Oryctolagus cuniculus: one gene and its partners. The protein of the gene in region 1 interacts with the protein of each later gene in a biochemical or structural test. Links are inferred from orthologs where the notes say so. Each region holds a gene or a part of one and is shown on either strand. Other genes may lie near its edges.

Region 1 (3,952 bases):
GAGGGGACAACTCAGCACGCGCAGGCGCAGGCGCACACCCTGCGCCTCCGTGCGTTGGGCACGAGCGCCCCCTGATGTCTCGGGGAGGAAGCGCGGCTGCACTTGGCACCGCTGGTGGCGGAGTGGTGCGCCAGGAGCGCCGGGCCAACCTCCGCCAATCGCTTGGCGCATCCCGGGCGCCACTGTCACTCTTGCTCTAAGGCACTGGCCAGCAGGGTCAGCACACGCCCCCGCCCCCACCGCCCTCCATCTCGTGTCTCTCCCCCTACCCCCACCCCCAGGGGCCGCAGAAGACGAGAGACCCTACCTGGCACCCCCGGCCATGAAGTTCAGCCGCAGCCTGTCCGTGCCCGGGTCCGAGGACATCCCCCCGCCGCCCACCACGTCCCCCCCCGAGCCCCCCTACAGCACCCCGCCCGCCCCCTCCTCCTCGGGCCGCCTCACCCCCTCCCCGCGGGGAGGCCCCTTCAACCCCGGCTCGGGCGGCCCCCTCCCAGCCTCTTCCCCGGCGTCCTTCGACGGACCCTCGCCTCCGGACGGCCGCGCGGGGGCCCGAGACAAGAGCCTGTACCACGGCGGGCCCCTGCCGCCCGCGCACCACCTGCCACCGCACCACCACCACCACCACGCGCCGCCCCCGCAGTCCCACCACCACCACGCCCACCCTCCGCACCCGCCGGAGATGGAGACCGGCGGCTCCCCCGACGACCCCCCGCCCCGCCTGGCCCTGGGGCCGCAGCCCAGCCTACGCGGCTGGCGGGGCGGCGGGCCCAGCCCGACGCCGGGGGCCGCGTCGCCGTCCCACCACGGCGGCGGCGGCGGCAGCGGGGCTGCGGGCGGCGGCGGGGGCTCCCCGCAGGCGCCGGCCCTGCGCTACTTCCAGCTGCCCCCGCGGGCGGCCAGCGCGGCCATGTACGTGCCGGCGCGCTCGGGCCGCGGCCGCAAGGGCCCGCTCGTCAAGCAGACGAAGGTGGAGGGCGAGCCGCAGAAGGGCGGCCTCCCGCCCGCCGCGTCGCCCGCGTCCCCGCAGCCGCCGCCCGCCGCGGCCGCGCCGTCGGAGAAGAGTTCCATCCCCATCCCCACCATCATCATCAAGGCGCCGTCCACCAGCAGCAGCGGCCGCAGCAGCCAGGGCAGCAGCACCGAGGCCGAGCCCCCGACGCAGCCCGAGGCCGCGGGCGGCGGCTCCGCGCCCAGCCCCGCGCCGGCCGCGTCGCCGGTGCCGCCGCCGCCGTCGCCCGCGCCCGCGCCCGCCTCGCCCAGCGGCCCGGCCACCCTGGACTTCACCAGCCAGTTCGGCGCGGCGCTGGTGGGCGCGGCGCGCAGAGACGGCGGCTGGCAGAACGAAGCCCGCCGGCGGTCCACGCTCTTCCTGTCCACCGACGCGGGCGACGACGAGGGCGGCGACGGCGGCGGGCTGGGCGCGGGCGCGCCCCCGGGGCCCCGCCTGCGCCACTCCAAGTCCATCGACGAGGGCATGTTCTCGGCCGAGCCCTACCTCCGGCTGGAGTCGGCGGGCGCGGGCGGCGGCGCGGGAGGCTACGCGGGCTACGGGGCCGGCAGCCGCGCCTACGGGGGCGGCGCGGGCGGCGGCAGCAGCGCGTTCACCAGCTTCCTGCCCCCGCGGCCCCTGGTCCACCCGCTCACCGGCAAGGCCCTGGACCCAGCCTCGCCTCTCGGGCTGGCCCTGGCCGCGCGCGAGCGGGCGCTGAAGGAGTCCTCGGAGGCCGGCGGCGGCGCCCCGCAGCCCCCTCCCAGGCCCCCGTCGCCCCGTTACGAGGCCCCGCCGCCCACCCCGCACCACCACTCGCCCCACGCCCACCACGAGCCGGTGCTGCGGCTCTGGGGGGCCCCGCCGCCCGACCCTGCCCGCCGCGAGCTGGGGTACCGGGCGGGGCTGGGCGGCCCGGAGAAGTCCCTGCCGGCCAGCCCGCCCGCGGCCCGGCGCTCCCTGCTGCACCGTCTGCCGCCTGCCGCTCCCGGGGTCGGGCCCCTCCTGCTGCAGCTGGGGCCCGAGCCCCCGGCGCCGCACCCCGCCGTCAGCAAGGCCTGGCGGTCCGCGGCCGCCGACGAGCCCGAGCGGCTGCCCCTGCACGTGCGGTTCCTGGAGAACTGCCAGCCCCGCGCGCCCGCCCGGCCGCCGTCGGAGGACGGGCCGGGGGTCCCGCCGCTCAGCCCGCGCCGCTCCGTGCCCGCCTCGCCCACGTCCCCGCGGGCCAGCGAGGAGAACGGGCTGCCGCTGCTCGTGCTGCCGCCGCCCGCGCCGTCGGTGGACGTGGAGGACGGCGAGTTCCTGTTCGTGGAGCCGCTGCCCCCGCCCCTGGAGTTCTCCAACAGCTTTGAGAAGCCCGAGTCGCCCCTCACACCTGGGCCCCCGCTCCCGCTGCCCGACCCGCCCGCCCCGGCCGCGCCCCTGCCCCCCGCGCCGCCCCCCGCCGCCGCCACCGCCGCCGCCGCGCCCGCCCCGCCCGCCCTGGACTCCACCGCGTCCAGCCTGACGTCCTACGACAGTGAAGTGGCCACGCTGACCCAGGGGGCCCCCGCCGCTCCCGGGGACCCCCCTCCGCCGGGCCCGCCCGCGCCTGCGCCGCCCGCGCCGCCCGCCCCGCAGCCCGGCCCGGACCCCCCGCCCGGCACGGATTCGGGCATTGAGGAAGTGGACAGTCGAAGCAGCAGCGACCACCCGTTGGAGACCATCAGCAGCGCGTCCACGCTGAGCAGCCTGTCGGCGGAAGGGGGCGGCAGCGCCGGCGGCGGCGGAGGCGGCGGCAGCGCGGCTGTGGCCAGTGGGCCGGAGCTTCTGGACACCTACGTGGCCTACCTGGACGGCCAGGCCTTCGGGGGAGGCAGCACCCCTGGCCCACCGTACCCCCCGCAGCTCATGACTCCTTCCAAGCTGCGGGGCCGGGCCCTGGGGGCCGGCGGAGGCCTACGGCCTGGTCCCACTGGGGCACTTCGAGACCCTGTCACCCCCACCAGCCCCACCGTGTCGGTGGCAGGGGCTGGCGCCGACGGGCTGCTGGCCCTGACCGGCTGCTCAGGACCCTCCGCGGCGGGCGTGGCCGGCGGTCCCGTGGCCGTGGAGCCGGAGGTGCCGCCGGTGCCCTTGCCGGCTGCCTCCTCCCTACCCCGGAAGCTGCTACCCTGGGAGGAGGGCCCGGGCCCCCCGCCGCCGCCCCTGCCGGGGCCCCTGGCCCAGCCGCAGGCCTCCGCCTTGGCCACCGTGAAAGCCAGCATCATCAGCGAACTCAGCTCCAAGCTCCAGCAGTTCGGAGGCGCCTCGACGGCCGGCGGCGCTCTGCCCTGGGCGCGCGGAGGCAGCGGGGGAGGCGGGGACGGCCACCACGCGGGAGCCAGCTACGTCCCCGAGAGAACGTCTTCCCTGCAGCGGCAGAGGTGAGCGCGCGCGGGCGGCCATCGCGGGGAACGGGGTTCAGCAGGAGCGCCCCCAACTGCGCGCCCCCTTTCTGGACCTTGGAATCTGAGGGGGAGGAGCCGATGGGCGCGCCTGTTAGGGCCCACAGAGCAGGGGAAGAGGTGTTGCTTTTTCCCCCACCTCTTTGTGCATCGCTAGAGTTCACCTTAATTCTGAGAGATGCGGGGTCTGGGGGCCTTGGAGGTCTTGGCTTAGCTTTGCTAAACACCCTGAACTATTCTGGCGGAGCCCAAGAAGCCGAAGTGATTCGTGTATCCCCTGCTCTGGGGTGAGGGAGGCCGCACGCACGGCGCAGCCGCCACGGAGCCTCCCCGCCTGGCCGGCGAGGGGTTAAGGACCCACAGCAACCATCCCGGGGGGGTGGGGAGTATGCCATGCCGTTAGCGGTCGGTCAGAGGTCTCTCGCGGTACTGGGTGAGCAGAGGAGTGGAGGTAGGCGGCCAGCAGAGCAGCCGGGCAGAGGGACAGCCGGTGCAAAGGCCCTGAGGTGGGCCCGTGCTGGAGAGAGCTAAAGGG
Region 2 (4,465 bases), on another chromosome or scaffold:
ATATATACACATATATATAGATATATACATTTATATCTAAATAGATAGATAGAAAGATATCCAGGACAGCATGAGCCCAAGCCAATCGACTACAGACACACTTTGTTCAGCTGTCATTTTCCCAGAGCATGCAGAGTGAAATGAAGATGGCCCCTGCTCTGGGTTAGGGAGTGGCTATGGTTGGGGGGGGGGGGGGGACAGCAGCAATTTACTCCAAACCCAAGACTTAACTTCCATTTTTGCCCTAATTCACAAGAAGTTCTGAGCTACTCCAATCGTTCAAAACACATTATAAAATTAATTTTTTGCTTTTGTTTAGGGATCTTTTTCATTTACTTAGGCAAGCGCAACTCTTATTTCATATTCCTAATAATCAGTTACACTGAACACATACCTTGTATGTGTGTTCATAAACAGATGGAAAACTATTTTTTTAATTCTTTTTGATTTTGGAAAACTATTTGAGACCAAAAAGAACCCCCCGAAATTATAGAGTCTGCTTCTATCTATATTTATTATTCTTCCATTTCTATAAAAGTCACAATAAAATAAGCAAAACTGCATTTGCCTGGGCAAAAGTAACACAGGCCGCTAGCTGCTTTGGATTAGGACAGCCTATAGGAATCAGTGTCATTGTTGGGAACAATATCAGATTTAGAAAAATGTCATGTCTTGACATCACCTACCAGACTTCCATTAGCCATGCAGAAGTCAAAGCACTGAGCTCCTTGTCCACATGACTGTTCAACCCCAGGAAGACCAGCTTTGGAATAAATAAACGGCCATCAAGTCTGTTTCTGGATCTCAGCACCGCACCAACCCCAGAAACAAAAATGAACTCCTCCTTGCATAAGCTGTCAAACAGCTTTTGGAGGGGAAGGAACAAAAATTGGTCACCAGTCTGAGCCCCAGAGTTGGCTGTAATAAACCTCACCCATCTGCGTGTGTGCATGCATAGAGTTCTCTCATGGCAATCAAAGTGCCCCATATGAGTGCCAAAGAAGGACTTGAATAATATTTTTTAAGTGGGCCATCATGTTTTAGAACAACTTTTGAACGAAAGCTCTTCCACCAAAGGAACACAGGCGTTTAAATGAACTGTAAGGCAAGTTCCTGGAAGAGGAGTTTTTCTCACTGGCAGAGAGTGCAATCAAGTGCAGGCAATCCTGAACCAAGTGGCCCAGCTGGCACCATTTCCACCCAGGCCTTTGCTAGCCTGACCCTCCATGACCTCACTAGCTACATTTCAAGTTCCAACTTGGTTTCTCCTCAGGAATGTAATTATCGTAGGGTACCACAACGGAAACAATAACCTCCAGTGTTTGAGAATGTATTTTCCTGTAGGCTCTAATTAGAAAACTCGAACCTAACTTCCAACCCATTGTAACAGAAGGCTGGAACAAGGCTAAGGGCAGAAGCAGCAGGCTGCCGATGTGATGGTATTTTAGGTGACCCAGCGCAACCTCATAAAACTCCTGACCCAATTTCCACACAATTGATTAGGCCAGCCCACGGGGACTTCACCCCAGTTGCTAATTACATCACTGTGCTGTGTGGTCATTACGTCACCCTGATGGGTGCTGCACCCGGCTGCTCCCTTTCCCAGCTTGCTCCCCCTAGAAGCCAACGGCCCCTCCCGCCCTGAGCCTCCCAGCCTCTCTCTCACAGGATCCCCCTCCGTCCCGCAAGGCGCGAAGGCTCTGTGCTAGGGGGAACCTGTTTCAGTCCTCCAGATTCAGGGCGAAGTACAGACGTGTCCCGTGAGCATTTCCCCGCCACAATTTTGTTTTCTCCTTGGTTCTTCCAGAACGCCAATGAACCTTACCAGATTCTGCTCTGCCCCTGGTCCCTTACAAGTATGTCCACACCCAGACAGTCCATACATCCAGCCTTCGGGATTCGGGGGCTGGGAGGGGGCAAGATCCGTGGGAGGACACGCACCATCTCACACTCACACACGCACACACGACAAAGCGCGCGGGCCCTGAGGACGCGGGGATTCTGTGCCCCTCGGCTCCGGGTCGACTTACTTGAGGAAGTACTTCTGGCCAGTGGCCGTGTAGGCCATCTCCCAGCCCGGGGGCAGCGGCGGCTCGTCGGTCAGGTCGTAGGAGCGCTGGCAGAGGTGTACGTGCTGCTGCGCGGGACTGCCCGCGGCGCCCGCGCCGGTGCCCAGCTGCAGGGACGCGGGCGACGAGTGTGAGCGGACGTGCTGGGCGCCGCCGGCCAGCCGGGGCCCCGGGTGGCCGCCCGACGAGTCGGTGCTGGACTGGCGCGAGTGCGAGCCCGAATCCGGCTCCTTGAAGAAGGACTCGGGCAGGATCTTCTTCCGCCACGAGCTGGGCTTGGGGTTCATGACAGAGTTGAAGAGGGCTTTGAGGTCCGTGTCGAGGTCCTGCGTGACGTGGATCACTTGCTGCCCGGGCGGCGGGAGCGGAGGGGGCGCCGAGGCCGGATTCATCTTCTGCAGGGAGAAGGGAGGTCAGTCTCTTATCGGAGTTGGAGGACGGGCTGGGAGGAAGAGAAGGGAGAGGACGGGTCGGTGTCGGCCTCGGGATACCAGCCGCTCGGCCGGGTGGGGGAGGGGTCCCTCCTGACCTCGGGAATTATGCAACTTTCTTGAAGCAAAGAAGTTACCGGGAATAGGAGAAGGAAGGGCGGGGTGGGATTCAGGGTGGGGATGGCGGACGTTGCTGCACTGCTGGTGGCAGAGGATAGGGCGCAGCTTTCCGCGGCCGGCAGCCTCTGCAGCCCACCTCCCCCACCGCCCCCGCCCGCCCCCGGGAAGTCTCACCCCGAGCCAACCCCACGCCAGCCCGACTCCGGAAGGCAGAAGAGCCCGGCGCCCTGGACCCGTGCCGGGCAAGCGGGCGCGTTCCAGCGGGCACTACCTGGGCGCGCAGCGAAGCCGAGCCCGAGTGCGCGGCGGCCGCCGTCCCGCCCGAACTTGCCGTCTGGCCTCGGTCGCCCGGCTGCGTCCCGCGCGTGCGGAGCTGGAGCCGGGGCCCGACTGGCAGAAACCGAGCCGACTCGGTGCCTGGCAGCCCAGGGGCTTCGGCTCTCACATCCCCCGAGCTGGCCTCAGGCGCTTGCTCTCGGCGAGAAGGAGGCGGAGGAGACGCCGACAGCGCGGCCGCAGCAGCTCCGGGACTGTCCCATAAACAAAGTTTGGAGCAAACTCCCACCCCCAGGAAAGAGGCGGGCCCGAAAGTTGAGCTGTTGAATTATGCATGACCTGCAGGTCCTGAGCCTGCCTGCCTGCCCCCGCTCGCCCCTCCTCTTCCTCCTCCTCCCACCCCCGGCTCCAGAAACCCCTGGGCGTGTTGAGTACTTCACAGGGTAAGAGGAGACGGGTGCCCCCCACCCACTCCTCCCGGCCCGCGCGGACCTCTCCCGCGGAGCTCCGGATCTGCATTCCTTTTAGTTTACCACCGACTTGGGGCGGGATCAAAGGGAAAGTGGCCCGAACCTGTTTAATCAAGGGGTTGTGGACCGAAACCCAGGCTGGGGGTGGCGGAGGGCAGGCGGGTGAGGGGCCCAGGCTGGGGAAGGGCCGGTCCAGGGCGCTGCGCCTTCTCCTGGAGCCCGGCGCCCAGGCCTGCAGAGCACCCGCAGCGCCGCGCTGACCCACGATGCTGCCCGAGGGCGGGCCGGGGTACGCCCCGGCGCGGGGAGACTCCAACAAGGCCAGCCTTTCCCCGGGAGGCTGCTTAGCGCTTGTGACCATATTTGGTCTGGCGAGGAGGCATTTTGGCCGCTCGACTTTCGATTGTCTACTAAAGAGCGCGGACGGTGCCCCATAGAGTGCTGCTGTCGCTGGAGATGCGGCTTCGCCCACGGGTGGGGTGTAAACAAACAGCCTCCAAACCATTCACCAACCCTTGGTTGCCTCGATGGCTTGGCCCGGGCCGCTAGGGGCCGAGAAGAAAGCGGGTCAAAGCTGGGAGCTGCGAGGCGAGAGCAGTTGCGCCCCCCCCCCCCCCGTGACATCCGCGCGGTAGTGGGAGGATTGGAATGTCCTTGACGCCCTCCAGGGAGCCAGGTCCCGGCATGGAACCCGAGCAGGTGGCTGCGAGCAGAGAGGGGGTGCCGGTGACCCGGAAAAAGCCACCCACCCTCCCACCGACGGATCTGCGCGAAGGCTGAAGACCCCCTGCCCTTAGCCAGGGGAAGAAGGTCAAACCTGGCAGACAGCTGCGGGAAGTGGGAGGCGGTCGTGCCCTCCGGAGCGGCTTAATTCCTCCGCTCCCTCCTGCCCTTCTCCGTTGCGGAAAAACGGGAGGATGGCCGGGAGGTAGATTCCAGAAAGCCCCCACACCACCCTGTTGATTCAGATTGAAGTTTATTAAATAAATCAAATGAGGCAATATTTGTAAAACACCGCACAGCAGAGGGCAGGCTACCAAAGTGTTTGCTAAATTAAAATGTATTACATGCAGACATTGTACATCAACATTTTTATAAG
Region 3 (4,506 bases), on another chromosome or scaffold:
TCTCGCCTTAGATCCTGGCTGGGAAACAGCTCTAGGCGACCGGCCTGGGCCATGGTTACCTTACCGTTAGGCCACAGGGCTGATTCCCTGCTCTCTTCTTTCCCCAAACGGAGCAAGAGAACCTGGTTCTTCGCAGTCACCCCTGCCTCCCCCCTCCCCCCAGGATGCCCAGTGTGTCTTCTTTGAGCAAGGAGCGCCTTCCCATAAACGCTAATCCGCGCAGTTCTCAAACGTTCTGAAACGCGGTGGGAACACGCAGATCGGAACAAAAGCAAATAAACCGCGTCCCGGGAAGCAACAAGGCAGATACCCTTCTCCGACAGCCGGCACGGACCCGAAATGAAAACTATCAGTCATCCAGCGGATGACACCGTTCTCCCCTCCAGACAGGAGCTGCCGTCGGCGGGCCTCTCCGTGCCCAGAGGACGCGACGGCGAAGCTGTCACAAAGCAGAGCGCGGGGCTCAGCGACCGGCTGCGATAGCAAACCCGCAGACCCTGGCGCCGACTCCCCCGTCGCTGCCTCCGCACATTCGCGGTGGGGGAGGAGAGGGGAGGGGAGGAGGGCACAGCTCGCCCCCCCCTACCCCGCCCTTCGGCTAAGGCGGCGCCAGGGTGCGGTGGGAGGGAGGAGGGGGCGCTCTGTAGAACCGGTGGGAGAGAGACGCGGTTACCTGGGGCAGCGAGCGCTCTCTGGAGAGCAGGCTCCCATCCCCCCAGCGGGAGAGTGCGCCTGCCAGGCTCTGGAGGCGCGAGGGACCTGAGCAGGGCCCCCGCAGGGTGCGCTTCGGCAGCGCAGTCACTGCCTCCGGCTCGCACCTGTGCTCCCAGGGGGCGGGGCCTCCTCCAGGTGTGCCGACCCGGAGTACCACGAGGAGAGCCCAGTACGGGCTCTGGAGCTTACGCCCCCCGCCCCGCCTCCACTGCCCGCAACCCCCTCCTTCCAGAAATGCAGGGGGAGGAGCGGTTAATCCGCGCTCCGCCGCCGCGGGATGCACAGGCGCCGCCCGCCTGTTCCCCGGGAGCCCAGCAAGCACACCCTGCGGCGCGGAGGGGGTTAACCCCGCGGCCCGCGGCAGGAGCGCGCTTAACCCCCTGGAGCCCGCGGGTTCGCCGGGCCAGTCCGTGCGGGCTGCACCCGGATCCCACGCGGCGGCCACGCCGAGCGCACAGGGCCCCGGGCCGCGGGCGGTCTCCGGGGTGCGGCGCGGCGCGGCCCGTGGGAGGCTCGGGCGGGCGGGGGGAGCGCGGGGGACGGCGGCGGCGGGCGCGCAGCGTCGCCAGGGCGAAGCCGGCGTGCGGCGCGGCGCGGCGGGCGCGGAGCGAGCGGGCGGGCGGGCGAGCGCCTCCGTCCCCGGATGTGAGCTCGGGCTGCCCGTGGTCCCGAGCCAGCGGCGGCGCGGGCGGCGGGCGGCGGCGGCAGGCGGCATGGGGGGCGCCCCGAGCGGCCCCGGCGGCCGGGCCGGCATCCCCGCGGCGCCCCTCCGCTAGTGGAGCGGACCAAGCCAATTCTCCTTTGCAGCAAAGAAAAAAAAAAGGAAAAAAAAAAAAAAAAGAAAATTCCATGTATATATTATTGAGATAATATATACATCTGATTTTATTTTTTTAAAAAGTTTATTTTGCTCCATTTTTGAAAAAGAGGGAGCGTGGGTGGCGAGCGGTTTTTATAAATTATCCGTATTTTCTGTTATTTGTCCCCGGCGCTCCCCACCCCCTGCCGGAGCGAGAATAAGGGCAGGGACCGCGTCTTCTGCGTGCTCGGGAACCCCCTTCCCTGTGCGTCCCCAGCCCGGGCGCCCAGCACAGTGCCCTGCACACAGTAGGCGCTCAATCAATGTTCGTGGATGATGATGATGATGATGATGAAGAAAATGCAGCATCAACGGCAGCAGCAAGCGGACCACGCGAACGGTGAGCAGCTAAGCCTTGGCGCCCGCGGCCGGATCCGGTCCCCGCCGCGGCCCTGTGCCCACCCCTGCCCGCCCCCGCCCCCCGCGGCTCCGCCGCGCCGGCTGCGTGGAGGGGGGTGGCGAGGACGCTCCCAGCTCGGTGCCGTCCGCCGGCGGAGGGGAGATGCGCTGCAGCCACTCCGCTCTCCCCTTGAGGCCCTGAATGTCAGAGTTAATTCTGCATTTGTGGGGTGGGGGCGGCCGTGGAGCGCTGAGCGGCCCGAGACGCTGCAGGTTCCGAGTCCTCGGGCTCAACTTTGCCTCAACGCCCCCGGGCCAGGCAGCAGAGGAGGGGGCTGCTGGGGTCTGGCCGGAGCCCCCTTCCCGGTCGCTCCTGGCCTTCCTCTCCTCCCCCGCCCCCTCCCCCTTTAGGAAGAAGGTCCCCTGGTGGCATCCGGAAAATTCTAGGATTGTCCGGTGTCACCCTAGGCGCTGGTGGGTGAAGCGCACCCCTCTCCGGCCCGACGCGGGAGGCCGGGTCCCGCGACCCAAGGGAAGGGGCCCGGCGGAGTGCATGTCCCTGCCCGCGACGCGCTCGGCGGTAACCTAGCGATGCCCGGGAGTCGCGGCCCGGGCCCGGCCGCCACGTGCGCTTTCTACGCCGGCCGCGGCTGGGTCGACTGGGGCTGGGGCAGTGCCTGGACAGTCCCCCTCTTTGGAGACTGCCGGCGCCCCCCAGCCCCGGTTCAAGCCTTTCCGGGTGAGCGCACCCCGAGGGAAAGGCTTGGCAGGGCTCATCCCGGCCCAGATTGGCTGCTGCCTGACCGCTCTGCTCCCTCCTCGGGCTTGCTGGGCAGGCAGACCGGTGCTTGCTTTTGACTCTTGACTTAGCAGTCGTTTCTTGTGCAAATGCCGGTCCCTCAGCCTCGCTGCAGATTCTCTCTGACCTCTGCCTTAGTGAGGAGGATGTGGTCCGAGGCCGGCAGGTGCCTGGGAGGGCTGCCCTGGGGCTGGCCCGACCCAAAGCCAGAGGGGGCTTTGCACTGGGAGGCCCCCTTGGGTTTCTGCCTCGTGTGTACCTGGATGCTGGCTTCCACTGAGGTGGTTCCTGCCTAGGCCTCCAGGCCCCCCGCACCTTCCTGCCTGTGTATCCTAGGTGTGTTGGGGTGCTAGGGGTGCTGGCCAACCGCCTTCTCTGTCTCCCTGGATGCTGCCTTGGCTGCTGCTGCTGCAATTTAAAATGCAAAAAAGCCCTAAAGATGTTTTCTGTTTTCGGAAGCCTGTGGAGGAAATGAGTCCCAAGCATCATGAATTTTCATTTGCAGGAAGTGTCAGTGCATAATCTAGATATTTGTTATGGGCTTTTGGTGCTGCCCCTGTGCTAGTGGATGGTTTTTTTTTTCCATGCTGAAAAAAAATCGTATTGTGGAAAGATGTTGGAGTAACACCCTGGAAATGATTAAGACTATCGAATTATTGGCACTGCCTCCGGCCCCCCCCCCCCCCCGGTAATGGTGGTGATTATTTAGGAAAAGCGGTTGTACATGTCTTTTAACTCATTAGCGACGCACGGGTTTTCAAAGTCAGAAGAGATGTGGAGTCAGTGAGGGATGACCTCGGCTTCTCAGAAGGAATGCGCAGCAAAACTCCTGGTAGAGAATGGGCGTGGTGCAGCAGGTTCCCGTGGATTGACACTGGGGCGCCGTGCGTGGATTTTTCTGCCTGATCAGAACAAGAGGCTCACCGTGGACACATAGGCATGAACACCCCCCACCCCGCCCTGGGATTGCTGGGTGATAAGCTTGCTTCACCTCACACACTAGAATCTCATCTTTTTAAAAAAAATCTTTGTTTTTCTCCTTTTCCCCAGAGGCAAACTATGCAAGAGGCACCAGACTCCCTCTTTCTGGGGAAGGACCAACTTCTCAGCCGAACAGCTCCAAGCAAACTGTCCTGTCTTGGCAGGCTGCTATCGACGCTGCTCGACAGGCCAAGGCTGCCCAAACCATGAGCACCTCTGCACCCCCACCTGTAGGATCTCTCTCCCAAAGAAAACGTCAGCAATACGCCAAGAGCAAAAAACAGGGGAGCTCGTCCAACAGCCGGCCCGCCCGCGCCCTTTTCTGTCTGTCTCTCAATAACCCCATCCGGAGAGCCTGCATTAGTATAGTGGAATGGAAGTATCCTTTTCCTGGGGTAGGGGGTGGGGGAGGAAGAACCTTCCTGGTTTTCTCTTTTACCATCTGTTCTTTAAAAAGATTTGCTTTCTGAAATGACACAAAGCTGTAGCATTGTGGAATGTGAGAGCCACAGACGAAAGCTGTGGGTAAGGGGTTTTGCTGTTTATACTTTCCTGACTCCTCAGGTTGCAGAGGGTGAGTCTGTGGGTCTCCTGTGTGTGTGTGTGTATGCTTGTGCGTAATGGTAGTAGTGGGGGGAGTGAGCCTGAAATTTCAAAGTGATTGTTGACACATGAAACTAACTTTTGGTCATTGGACACTAGATGGTTCGTTTTCATCCACTGTTGTTTTGGGGCATTAGTTATATATTGAACCTATTGCACTTAAGCTACGCCAATTAAAAAAACCACTCTGTGAGACTTTATTGGACGTGAA

What was found.
Region 2: the proteins of SHANK1 (region 1) and WWTR1 interact in a test that uses a peptide from one of them, tested with the Homo sapiens proteins (2 studies listed by IntAct, with this or other methods). The link is inferred for Oryctolagus cuniculus from reciprocal best matches to the Homo sapiens genes SHANK1 and WWTR1.
Region 3: the proteins of SHANK1 (region 1) and CACNA1D interact in a biophysical measurement, tested with the Homo sapiens proteins (2 studies listed by IntAct, with this or other methods). The link is inferred for Oryctolagus cuniculus from reciprocal best matches to the Homo sapiens genes SHANK1 and CACNA1D.

Annotation. Positions count from the first base shown.
Region 1 is NC_091449.1:7,306,886-7,310,837, forward strand, and holds part of SHANK1 (SH3 and multiple ankyrin repeat domains protein 1), read left to right. Parts: intron 1-281; coding exon 282-3,396; intron 3,397-3,952. UniProt on the Homo sapiens protein: Seems to be an adapter protein in the postsynaptic density (PSD) of excitatory synapses that interconnects receptors of the postsynaptic membrane including NMDA-type and metabotropic glutamate receptors via complexes with GKAP/PSD-95 and Homer, respectively, and the actin-based cytoskeleton.
Region 2 is NC_091435.1:131,815,753-131,820,217, reverse strand, and holds the start of WWTR1 (WW domain-containing transcription regulator protein 1), read right to left. Parts: upstream 3,154-4,465; 5' UTR 2,892-3,153; intron 2,813-2,891; exon of another isoform or gene 2,795-2,812; intron 2,512-2,794; 5' UTR 2,462-2,511; coding exon 2,031-2,461; intron 1-2,030. UniProt on the Homo sapiens protein: Transcriptional coactivator which acts as a downstream regulatory target in the Hippo signaling pathway that plays a pivotal role in organ size control and tumor suppression by restricting proliferation and promoting apoptosis.
Region 3 is NC_091441.1:96,321,875-96,326,380, reverse strand, and holds the start of CACNA1D (voltage-dependent L-type calcium channel subunit alpha-1D), read left to right. Parts: upstream 1-1,353; 5' UTR 1,354-1,846; coding exon 1,847-1,913; intron 1,914-3,761; coding exon 3,762-4,071; intron 4,072-4,506. UniProt on the Homo sapiens protein: Voltage-sensitive calcium channels (VSCC) mediate the entry of calcium ions into excitable cells and are also involved in a variety of calcium-dependent processes, including muscle contraction, hormone or neurotransmitter release, gene expression, cell motility, cell division and cell death.